Linked DNA regions of Nothobranchius furzeri. The protein of the gene in region 2 purifies or fractionates together with the protein of the main gene of each other region. This does not show direct contact. Links are inferred from orthologs where the notes say so. Each region holds a gene or a part of one and is shown on either strand. Other genes may lie near its edges.

Region 1 (4,256 bases), on a different chromosome or scaffold from region 2:
CCACATGAGTCACAGGCCTGGGGGGTGGGGAGCAACATCAACTATACCAAAACTCAGGCAAAGGTCCATCACATATCAACTTTTTCACTTGGTTTGTTTCGTATATGTACTGGAGATCCAGGAGAAAGACAACTCAAGCCATGGAAGTCTACCGTCTTTCAGGATAGTTCGAAGCAAATCACAAACCAAACCCACAATTAGATTTAAAACATCAAATCATATAAGCCCCATTGCAGCTCCTTTTTAGTGACACTGAAACAGTGGTGTACTCATAGATAATAAAGTTGATTAATAAAAATCAGTTTTGATCTAATAAAAAGTAAGCAACAAGCTGAGGACCCCAGTCTAGAAATCTAGACAGACGGTAGCAGAAGCAAAATGATTTTGCTCTGCATGTCGGTCTAGCCACGCTCCACTGGAACCTCTGGAGCCCATAACCAGTCTGGTGGCGTGCCAATCACAGCACTCTCAGTTTGGTGGGCGGATTCTTATTGACACTGAGCGAAACTAAGATGGCGATAGCTCGTTTAAAATGGCTTTGGCACCAACTTTGAACTATTTAGGGTTAGGGTCAATATTCTCAATAGAAGTCAGAATATGTGCCTTCTAGAGTTTCAGCTACCAAAAAGCATCACTCTGAATAAAACTCCAAAAGCTGCACATATTTGTGATGAAAACTGCTTAAAACATGAAATAGATTTTCTCACACCACATTACAAAATGATAAGCTCTTTTAAACAGCTTAGCTTGATGATGATCATAGTGCTGCAATTAAATGTACAAAAATAATACATCACAGTGCTCATAGTTAATGTTTCAGTTCATTTTGGTCTAATGTAAAAAAAACTCAATTGATTTATAATTATAATGCCCCATTGTGTACCAATGAAGCCAAGATATGCACGGGAGTTAACAGCTTTTAGACTTTTCAATGTTTTTAATGAGAGTGTTTATTTTCCCTGATGATAGGGGGCAGTACGTACCTAAATCACTGCAAGTATGCATTATTTTTGTGTTCAAATAAGACCTTACCAACAGATGGCCATTAGGGTAAAAAATCCCAGGGATTGCAAACTCCAGCAAAATGACAAGCACATCAGATTCCCTTTCATCACCGCCAAGAGTGAAGAAGTAAATGTGTAAAATAACAACGTTTATTATTGGTGGAAGTTTTTTAACCATTTGATATAAATCAGTAAATGTGTTTTTTTCTTACGCCCTTTCGTAGCATGAAACATGGCATCCAATATGGCATTGCCCAGAGACTTTGGGGGTGTTTCACCTGGCCTTGCGAGGCCAGGCGCCTTGCTTACAAAGACACTGTCCTTCCTTGGTCAAAGAAAACGGTTCAATGGAACAGACTTGCACCACATGACACAGGAGAAAACGTTATATTTTATGCGCATATGTTTCAATATAAATATATAATGAACCTTTTACTTTTTAAAGTGTGTATATATTTGTGAGTTACTACCTGCTAGCCACCAAAGCTGCAACTACTAAACAACTAACCAACCATAGACAACTTCTTTGGATTGAAAAAAAATAACATTTTAGATATCAGCCCGATCACTACAATGATTTGACTTACATGTTAATTCCCTCTGGGGTTAATAAAAGTATCTTTGATTTAAACTTGAAATTTGCCCCTGAAGTAGTTGCCGGCTTCTTATCCGCCATCCTTTTGAAAATATCACGCTGTATTCTGGGAATATTTTGACCAAGGTAACCTACAAGACACCTCTTGTGTATCCTTGCTCAGCTAGCTAAATGGCTAACAAACGAAGAACAGACGCCTCGGTAGAATATAACGTTTTCTCCCATGACCGCCATGTAAGCCGTGGTCACGTGATGCAAGTCTGTTCCATTTAACCGTTTTCTTTGACCAAGGATGGACAGTGTCCTCGTAAGCAAGGCGCCTGGCGTCGCAAGACATCACCTTACAAGGCCAGGCGCCTTGGCACTGAGAAACACCCAGTGGAACAGGCCTTGGCAGTTTCTGATGACGTATCTCCTAGGCAACCTGGGACCAAGACGAGGTTCCTCATTGAGAAACACCCTTAGACTCGCTCCGAAATATTTTAAAACATATTTATATGGTTATATGTTAAGAAACCGCCAATATTTTTCAACAACCGGGCATCTTTTAATTAGTTTACAACAACATTTCGATGGCTATTTCTAGAGACTAATGATAAAAACTACACAATGTCCCTTTAATACGAGTGTTAATGAAGCTTCATGCTGGGAACACTTAGCGACACAACAGACAGGATAATAAACTAGAAAACTCATAAGTTAACAAAAAACAGGCAAAAGAACTGAAACGGGGGGGGGGGGGGGGGGAATACGTCAATGGTTGACAACTGCGTCAAGTTCGTTAAAACAGTATGTAGACGCTGTTCCGGTCAGGAAGGAGGTTTAAAAACGCTTACCTCGTTGCCCTCACTAGTTCCGACAGACTTCACTAGTATGGTTGTTGTTTTTTTGCCGAATGATGAATAAATAGTTACTTTGTCCGGAACGTCTCAAACCTCTTAAAGGGGCCGCCACGGTTACTCCTGCTGAACGATGAAGTTCTGAAATTCCTTTTAGCATGAGGCTTCTGGAACGTCACCGGTCACGTGATCCCGGGCTACAAGAAGCCCCAATGTCTGGTCAGCAAAATATGTTATTGTCCTCAACCGGGATGAGAGGCCGTGCTGACCCCAAGTCATTGCAATATTGCAATGAGCGTAATCCTCCAAGCCTCGAACAATGTTAGCTTCTGTGTAACAACATAGACGTTGTCACATGCGTAATTTGGAATCGTAGGATGTCCAAGGAAGGTCCCGCCTTTCTCGCCTCTCATAGCCTAGAAAGGCTCTCCTATGATTGGCTTTTTCATTTTGCAGAAACCCGTGTTCTCTCGCTAAAGTGCAGTTTTATGGAAGCGTATGTGTAACAAAACTCTTATTATTATGCAGTAGCAGAAATGATATTTCATTTTATATTACCACTGCCAAATTTGACTCATAAATAAAATTAATGAGCAATCTTCCAAACTGCTTTTTAATTTTCTTCTTCATCATTGCTTATTCTGTGACTTCATGAAAAGTATAAAGAAAAAAACATTTGAGGACTAATTTTCAAATAACACTCCAGTAAATGTGTAACAATTCAATTTGAAATGTCAAATCTGAAAATTAAACTGCGTTAGCAAAAATGCATTTTCATTTTCACTTTACAACTGCTTAGTGTGACTCACAATTAAAATGATATAGCAGTCCTCTAAACTGCTTTTTCATTTTCTTCTTCATCATTGCTTGTTCTGTGACTTAATGAAAAGGATAAAGAAAAAAACATTTAAGATGTAATTTTCCAATAACACTCTAGCAAAAAGTAACAAAATTCTATTTGAAATGTCAAATTTGAAAATTAAACTGCATTAGAAGAAATGCTTTTTCATATTCACTACACAACTGCTTAGTGTGACACAATCAAAATGAAAAAGCATTTCTCAAAACTGCTTTTTAATTTTCTTATTTATCATTGCCCATTCTGTGACTTCATGAAAATGCTAAAGAAAAAGGCATTTGAGAACTAATTTTCAAATAACACTCCAGCAAATGTGTAACAAAATTCTATTTGAAATGTCAAATCTGAAAATTAAAATATATTAGCAGAAATGCATTTTCATTTTCTTTTTACAACTGCTTAGTGTGACTCACAATTAAAATGATATAACAATCCTCTAAACTGCTTTTTAATTTTCTTCTTCTTCATTGCCCATTCTGTGACTTAATGAAAAGGATAAAGAAAGAGGAACTGATTTGTCTTTTTCATGCCTGCCCTGCATAAAGTGTTTCATAATTCAAATTGAATTGGCCATTCTGAGCGGCACAGGAGAGTGAAGTGAGCATTCACCTCACTCTTCTGAACTGAGTTTGACCTCACATCACTAAGCATTGATTTAATTATAGTATTATTTTACTCTCCATATATTTTATTTATCATTTATTTTCTTACTTTAGTGATTTATATTATCTCTTTTATTTTCATATTTTTACTCAATTTAATACAGTGTTTTCTCTGTAGGAGCCCTCTGCCCCAGGGGCGGTGTTCGACTGTTGCTTCCTGGGCGCTCTACAGGTGGTGTTTGAGTGGAAGTTGGGGTATATGCTCTCCCTCCTCTGAGCGCCCTGACTTAGTTGCTGTGGAAGACCTGATGCTGCCGGGGCAGACGGCTCCTCTGATGGCATTTCCTTACCTTACCT
Region 2 (4,171 bases):
ACTTTCCCCTTTATATAACGTATAGGTGATTTCCAAGTGAGACTCTTAAAGAGATTGACTCGTTGTTCTTGAGCTTAAAGAGACAATGTGTAGTTTTTAATCATTCATTTCTGGAAATATCCATCAAAATGTCGTTAAATTAATGGAATGATGCCCAGTTGTTGAAAATGATTGACGGCTTTGTATAATAACCATAAAAATCAGGTCTAAAATACATGGGAGTGGGTCTAAGTCTCTGGGTGACTCCATATTAGATGTCAAGTTTCCTTCTAAGGGAGCCCGTGAGGACAAATTGCATTTACTGATTTGTAACAAACAGTTACAAAACTTTTGTCATTCTTAAATGTTGTTTTACACATTTACCTCTTCACTTGTTGCCACTGATTAAAGGGAGTCTGATGTGCTTGTCATTTTACTAAAGTTTGCACTCCCCAGGGCTTTTTGACCCTAATGAGCATCTGTCGCTTTCCGCAGCCGCTCGCTTCCGAACTCAATTTTTACTGGTACCCGCTCTACAACGGCTCCGCTCCGGTGCAGAGACCTGAGGTGCGCAAACAGGCATGCGCTGGATTTTCGAGATCTTGCGATACAGTCCGAGCAATAAATGCTCGTTGGAAGTTAGATCCAAACACCCGTTGTGTGGGGGAAGCATCGAAATGAACTGTTTAATCTGCCCATCATTTGTGTTGAGAGATCAGCAGTGTTTGGATCAACAAAGTGTGACTACTTTGATAGTAGAAACTGTATTTATGGCTTATGTTGTGCATTTAAAGTTCAACCGCCATTGATAGTTGTTAAAAGTTGTTAAACATGTGCATATGAAACAAAAAACGTTTTTTGTTTATCGATTTATTGTGAAATAACGGAAGTTGTGCTTGCTCCCTTTCCTGTTGGGCGATTGTGATTTCTGTCCTTTGACTGCGGAGGTGCTCCGGCGTCCGGCAAAAATAGAATCAATCCATTTTTGCCGGATGGCGGAACGGCTCACTGCGCCGCACGGCCGCAGTAGTGGAACAGCTCTGATTGACTACAACGGGACCGTTTTTGCTGCAGAGTTCGTGCCGGAGCGGAGATAGTGGAATTTTGGGGTTACTCAAACACAAAAATACTGCTTGCTTGCAACGATTTATGTATCTACTGCCCCCTATCGCCAGGAAAAATACACACCGTCTCTTTAATTGCAGTTGTTGCCTTCAAGAACAGTGGCGCCCCCAAGTGGTGGCCAGAGGGGGGCCTTGACCAATCCTGGAAAATTGCTGGCCACCTCAGAGCACTTCCACTCTCCAACCTCCTTTAATAAATCATATTTATGTTCAATATTTATGTTCACAAAACTATACATTAGTCTTCTTTAATAAAATGTAAAACCTTACAAATATAGAAATAAGTAAACAAATTAATATGTTGCTGCTGTGCACCATTTTCAAGAAGAAGTACAAATATCAATCTGTTTTGTAAAATGCATTCATTAAGACAGCGACAGATACATCCAGCTGTTCTAAACTACTAAAAAGTAAATGTTAAAGTATGAATAAATTAAATATTTGAAGTTTCTTATTTTCTCAAATATAACATTTCTGCTGCATATTTTTTAAGAATGGATGAGGATGCAGAGCACAGCTACAGGCTAAAAAACTCAAGAGTTACCAAGAGAACTAGTTTGATGTGCCACCCTTAAATTTTCCTTGGCCCCCCAATCTTGTCCCCCATGAAAATGTCCTGGTGCCGCCTCTGTCCAAGAGTGTTCAGAGTTATTGGTTAAGAGAACTTGAAGTCTTCATCTGAAAACTGCATTTTGTCTTTGCTGATCTGAAACATTTATGCGTGACAACAAAAAGAACAAAAGCAGAAGAAATCTGTAAAGGTGCAAATACTTTTTTTACATAAGCCTCAGAATGATCAAACACCAACACTGAAAGTGCCCCATGCAGCTGAGATAATAAAAAATAAATAAAATACAACTACAAGCAGGGCATTAATGTGTGAACTATTGATAATCCTCCAGCAAAAGTTGAGAAATAGCCGTGAACGACCCTTTGCCCTCTGCCTGGTCCAATGCACCAATTTTATCCCTCAACAGCTGTGTCTTTCTAGCAGATTCCTCAGGACACTAACTTTGGAAAACAGTGTCTGTCCCTATGAAGAAAGATTACCCAGCTGGCAGCCTGTGGAGCTCACGTCAGCCCACGGATTTGATTACAGACCTGTAGATTTCTACATTTCCACATCTAAACAACCAGATTCAATATCCTAAATGGAATGGGACCCAACTGCATTTTATTTTGTGGGTAAAAAAGTTTATAATGAGTTTTCCACCTAAATTAACGCTGGTATCAGAAAGCCTTGACACTCGGCAGTGAGTCATCGGGTAATAATAGTGTTAGATCATGACTCGGGAACATAACGGGGCTGATCACCCGTTTTATTAGGCTTATGAGCAGTCAGTGAGGGGGAGGCGACGGGACCTAACAAGGCCTACAGTCAACAAGATTAACACAAAACAGCCATGTAGCGTAGCGACTCCAGCAGCTTAACACAATCCGTAACCGACGCAGCACCCTACGGAAACCCGTTGAAACAACTTTATCCCGCCTCCGTTACCTTTTTGGTGTCGTGTCTCGGGTCATTCCAGGTTGTCGTCCGGTTGTTGTGATCCACGAAAAAGGGCCATCCAGTGTGAGGGTCGATTTTGACTTCCCATCCGAGGGGGAGCTGGTCGATGTCATTATCAGCCATCACAAGTGTCGGAGAGTGCGTCTTCACTGCGTTCATGGCGAGTACTGAGACATTTTTTATGGGCGGCGGTCCCTTTAAAGATTCCTGCGAGTGACGTAGGAAAGTGGGCTGGAAGTTTCTCGAAATAGCGGGGTTAATGTCGGGGGCGGCGGACCGCGCTGGAAGCAGCGGCATGGCGGCTACTTCTTGTGTCGCAGACACCCCCCAACAAAAGACACTACATTAATTTAGTTATAGTTGGTGTTTACAGAGAGCAGCTATTACCAGCTCTACTTTAATAACAACCCCAGAATCACGTAATAACCCTGAAACCTTCTCACTCACGCATGCGCAAATCTATTAGACCTGGGGTTTGAACAGCAGTTTTTCCCCTCAATCCAATTTGCTTAGAGATGCAACTGCTAAACCTGTTTATGCGTCTGCATCGGTGCGGAGACACAAAACGCCAGGAACTTGAAACAAATATGATTTATCGTTCTGATAAATATCTACGGAGGAGAATTAAGGCCACTGATAAAAAGTTATTTTCTCAGATTTCTTAGATTGTAAGAATTATGAGAAAGGGTAGAATATTGGCTCCTTTCTGAGATTAAAATTAGAAATATGTATGTCATCTAGTCTGTTATAAAATGTGTGTCATTTTTGTGAGGAAAAGAACCCCATCTTGTTTCTATTATCAAGTTTAAAAATTCGGAAAACCTTGTGAAAAATGAGTACCGATGCTTGTTTTGTTCGAGTCCAAATCGTGAAAACCTCGAAATACAAAACGAGCGTACCCATGTAATGGACTTCAAAATAAAAGCCTTTTACGTAAATTGCGTTGCTTTCGAAAAGCAAGAGGGAAATAAGTCATTATATTCTCTGAATCAACTGTTTTATTCAATTAATTTCTATTTACACACGGTGAATTCAACTTACAGAATAAAATTAAGCCATTTATAGCTTCGAACTAAAGGTTGACCCAGACCCTTTGGGTTGACCTTTCGGTGCTCATGCGCAGGCGCAGTTAGCACACTCAGCGTGACGTAAGAAACGTTGCCCGGTTAGCTTTCTAAGCTAGTTAGCTCGTTGTTTACAGCGTTTATCTCTCAGTCTACGTCCTTTAATTACCAAATAGTTTATATTTTTTCTACGACGTCACGTTCAGTGTTGGTCATGGACGACGAAAGTTACCCCAGAACCCTGTAAGTATTTTTAGTGTTTTCGTGGTAGCTAGCTTTCGTTTGGTTTCTCATACGCAGCGGCTAACTGAGCTACATGTCCAAAAAACAAGTGTAGACAACGTTCAATATTAAGTGTTAATTTACGTTTTTAATTAGTAGGCGTTCAAAAACACGTATATTTCGACGATTAAAAAAAACGTTAGTTCAGATGAGGGATTACCTTAAACAGTTTCACATTGGAAACGAGGATATTTATATAACGTTAGCTGGTA
Region 3 (4,145 bases), on a different chromosome or scaffold from region 2:
TACATAACCATGACCAAATCAAAAGTCCATTTTTTAACGATGTGAAAGTTGAAAAAATTGTTGAAAAAGTAAAAAGCCTCACCCAAGTTCTATACATGTGATTTACTTTGCAATTTTGCAAGATCCCGTGCCTATTTTCTTTTCTTTTACCAACTCCATGATTACAATGTAATAGGACAGCTAGAAGAGATTTGTCAAGAGCAAGAGAACATCAGACCCTGATGTTAACAAGACCAGAGTAGTGGACAAACAGACTAGGAGCAGCAAGGTCTTAACATAAATCATAAGTGAAGGAAGAAAAACGACTAGTGGCTTAGAACGATGCAATAACAAGCAGGTTCCCTCACCTGACATGATTTACAGCAACAAGAGAATTTACAGAATGGGCTCATGAACAGGAGCCCGTTTAGGTGGATTTGAATATAAGATGCCTTGAAGAAAATAATCAGTATGTGGAAAAGTTACAACTACAATAGCAATAAATAAACAATAAATAAACATTTCATGTGCAGGAACAAACTAAAAGGTACAAATTCATCTCTAAACAGTAAAAGCGTATAGTGTCTCATCAAGCAGTCAAACTCAGGACTAGTTTATGAAGTCTTGATTTTAACCACAGACTGTATGAATAATGGAAAAAGACCTACTCCGTAAGACAGGAAGCTGATCTGAAAGTACCTTAAAAGGTTTATTTTTGAGTGGGGAATCCTAAACTGTGTTTCAAAGTTATAAATAATTGTATTATCCACTGTAGAAAGTTTCCTGGACAACAAGCAAGCAGAGACTCAAGAGTTTTGCTGCCATCCTTAAACAGCTACAAAATGTTATAGAGGTTCATGCAAACACCATTTATAAATCTTTGACGGAAATTCCATGCAAATAATTACGTTATGCATCGTGAATGAAGTCTAATTAGTCCTGCAAATCAAGGCCGCCACGGAAGCTACCTAGAAAGGGTAAAATAGTAAACATGTATAACTTTTACACAGAAAAGAAAAAATAATCCAGTTATTTTCACAGAACGTTGCTGACTCCAGAACATTCATGGCTTCTGGTATCTTGTGATAACTGTGATAATCCCGAAAGAAAATCAACATTAAGCACTTTTATCTGAAACCAATGTTTACTGAAATTTTAAAGGTCAACTTTACTCATATTTTTAATACATTTGTAGGGAATCCTAGTAGAAATGGGTGCCTTGTAAGTTGTTCCCTGGAGCAAAAAAAGCTATAGTGCATCTGTGTGAGGACTTAGAAGTTAGCCAGTGGAGAAAGTAGCTTCAGACAACAGGATTTGGAGTCTTATTTCCTGATATTTGGACATTTGTTCTCTGATTGGCCAACAGCAGTGCAACTCTACCATTGACTCTGATTGCTTTGCAACATTGATGATTGATTTGATCTCCACAAATAAGCCTGGAAGAGTTTTGCTATGCTGTGGAAATGCCAGTGATAGCTTCTACTAGCTGAATATTCTCTGCTGTTTCCTAGATGCTAAACCAACAACAGCCTTCCTCTTCGTGAGCCAAGATGGGTGGGTCCATTCATGTTAAGTAACAGCATGACATAGATCTGTCAGGTTTTTCTGAACTGAGCATTCTTTCGTTTATTTTCCATCAAAATATAATGCAGGAAATAGAGGTAGAAGACCATTTTCAAGTTCAGCCTGTTTGTTAAAGCGATCATTTTCAAAAATAAATAAATTGTTTCTCAGCTTTTTAAGATAAAACTTTGACATCCACATAAAATTACTTTTTTGTATTAATCAGCAAAAATAAAACAAATTCTAATTAGATGTGAGCTCATCTGTATAAGAATAACGCAGTTTAAAACAGTGTAGGTTTTTTTAAACACTGTAGTTTTTTTTGATGGGCATTCAAATTGATATAAAACAACACTGGGGAAACATTTTTCAGAATATAGCCGTTCCATTTGACACTCAAAACATCATTATCTAATTTTAAAAAATCTTTATTTCTAATAAACAAAATTACTTTTAAACATTTTGTTGCCATTCGCGTGTTTATGCTAAATTTGGGAAGTTAAAGGTCCAATCACGCTGCTAAGTGATGTGGCAACTTGTGTAAACTTCTCAGGATTTGGAAAAACTTCCAGAAACTCAGTTTATTTCGCAGTTTAGGAACAAAACACTTCAAAAATGAATCTACCAATAAACTATCGAAAACTTGGAAAAATTGTACTGTTGTACAAAACAAAATTCAGCTAACGTTAGCAGTACACAATTCCTTACGACACTATGACGCTAAATAAAAATGATTATCCTGACGAGCACAAAAACATTATTATGGGATACTGTTTAAAAAGTCGTTTTAAAATGAGGCTAACTGTAGCACTGCCTTATTCTCTGGTTGGCAGCTACCACGAATAGCTAGATTAGCTTACCATTAGCCGGTACATCTGAATATCACTAACACGCGATCACGGGCGGATTAATAATCAGCACGACTTTAACTTATATTAAACGTCTTATGAATTATGAAACATTACCGTCGACGATTAGCACATAGCAGAGCCGCACAGCACCCCCAGCATGAGACTATGCGGCAGAAGAGGCTTTCACCGCTTTTTACTGAACCCTCGTACTGTGTTGACTTTCGTCTAAATCAAGAAATGCTTACCAGAATAAAGGCAATATCCACCCCAATAGCCTCTCTGTTGATGTGGTTCAAACTATTTCCGTTTAAGAGTACAAACTGTGTCTGTAAGTAGAGGTGGCTGGTTATTGATGGTGGAGCTGAAAGATATATCTGGCCTTGCCCACTACTAGGAATGCTGCATTCACGTGCAGTAGGAAATCACATCATGCACCATGACACTTGCGGGTTTTTATTATTATTATTTTTATTTATATGTTCCCGTTTCTTTTTGTAGATTGTTTAAATATCTTCTTTTTTAAGATTATGGATACAAATAACATGCAAATAAGACTATGAATAGTCGAACCACGTGTCAGAAACTGTTATTTATTGTTTTCTAATCTTTGTTCTTACGAGGGTCTATCAAGGTAGCACGTCTTTCAACGTGGAAATCAGCGTTTTTGTCTGTTTTCACCGAACCTGCCCCGGTAGAGGGCAGCTAATTGTGTAAATCCCGTTGATGTAAAGTGTAAATGCAATATCAAGCTATTCAAATGACGTTGATAAAAGATTAGTTTTGTTTGAGGACAACAACCTTTGTCTCAAAATGTTTAGGTGACACAAACTTGCCTTGTGCGCCCTCTGTCGTCTGCTGAAGTAATAACATTACTATTGGTGAAAGGAGTTGAAAGCCACCACTGTGAAGCTTTGGTTGATTTTTCTGCTATATGGTTGTTGTTGTTTTTTTCTAAGTCACCCACAGTGTTCTAAAAGGGTATTTTGCCACTTACAGATTTCTTCAACATCCTGTGATCAAATTTGGGTACTGCAGTTCTTCTAAATGAGTCCACGTTGAGCAATTGTTGCTATATCACGGACACGCACCGGAAGATTCTAGGCAAGGCAGCTTAATTTATTGAGCACATTTCAAACACAGAGGCAGTTCAATGTGCTTTACAATTAACAAGGCATGACATGAAAACACAAATTAAAATACACACAAATGGAATTACAGTTTAGAGCTAAAGGAGAAGACAAAGTTACAGGGCAGATCACAGTGGAGATGACGCAGCATAGGAAACAATTCATTTAAAGGCTGATGAGTACATTAGGGTTTTTACTTTTGTTTTAAACAACAGTAGGGTTGGGGCACATCTGAGGTCATGGGGAAGCTGATTCCATATGTGAGCAGCATAGTAACTATATCTCCATCATGTTTTGTTCTGACCCGTGGTTCTACCAGCTGGGTGTTTCCTAAGGATATCAGAGCCCTATTGGGAGTGTATACAGAAATTCAAGTTCAATTCAAGTTTGATATAGCGCCAAATCATGACAAGAGTCGTCTCAAGGCATTTCACGAATGAGATCAGACATGTATTTTGGTCCTATGACATTGAGTGATTTATAAACTAGTAGGAGCACTTTGAAATCTTTTCTGTTGTTTACTGGTAACCAGTGTAGGCATCTAAGAACAGGAGTGATGTGCTCCATTCTTTTAGTTCTTGTTAAGACTCTAGCAGCATTCTGAACAAGCTGCAGCTGCTTCACA

What was found.
Region 1: the proteins of bag3 (region 2) and pdlim7 purify together in Homo sapiens (affinity purification with mass spectrometry; 3 studies listed by BioGRID and IntAct, counting the BioPlex papers as one, with this or other methods). This does not show direct contact. The link is inferred for Nothobranchius furzeri from reciprocal best matches to the Homo sapiens genes BAG3 and PDLIM7.
Region 3: the proteins of bag3 (region 2) and dnajb6b purify together in Homo sapiens (co-immunoprecipitation; 3 studies listed by BioGRID and IntAct, with this or other methods). This does not show direct contact. The link is inferred for Nothobranchius furzeri from reciprocal best matches to the Homo sapiens genes BAG3 and DNAJB6.

What each region holds. Positions count from the first base shown.
Region 1 is NC_091741.1:103,242,189-103,246,444, forward strand, and holds the start of pdlim7 (PDZ and LIM domain protein 7), read right to left. Parts: upstream 2,801-4,256; 5' UTR 2,436-2,800; intron 1,835-2,435; exon of another isoform or gene 1-1,834. UniProt on the Homo sapiens protein: May function as a scaffold on which the coordinated assembly of proteins can occur. May play a role as an adapter that, via its PDZ domain, localizes LIM-binding proteins to actin filaments of both skeletal muscle and nonmuscle tissues.
Region 2 is NC_091752.1:5,543,179-5,547,349, forward strand, and holds the start of bag3 (BAG family molecular chaperone regulator 3), read right to left. Parts: upstream 2,801-4,171; 5' UTR 2,773-2,800; coding exon 2,602-2,772; intron 1-2,601. Other genes in the region: tial1 (nucleolysin TIAR), read left to right, coding at 3,892-3,920. UniProt on the Homo sapiens protein: Co-chaperone and adapter protein that connects different classes of molecular chaperones including heat shock proteins 70 (HSP70s), e.g. HSPA1A/HSP70 or HSPA8/HSC70, and small heat shock proteins (sHSPs), e.g. HSPB8.
Region 3 is NC_091747.1:47,512,833-47,516,977, forward strand, and holds the start of dnajb6b (dnaJ homolog subfamily B member 6b), read right to left. Parts: upstream 2,801-4,145; 5' UTR 2,639-2,800; intron 1-2,638. UniProt on the Homo sapiens protein: Has a stimulatory effect on the ATPase activity of HSP70 in a dose-dependent and time-dependent manner and hence acts as a co-chaperone of HSP70. Plays an indispensable role in the organization of KRT8/KRT18 filaments.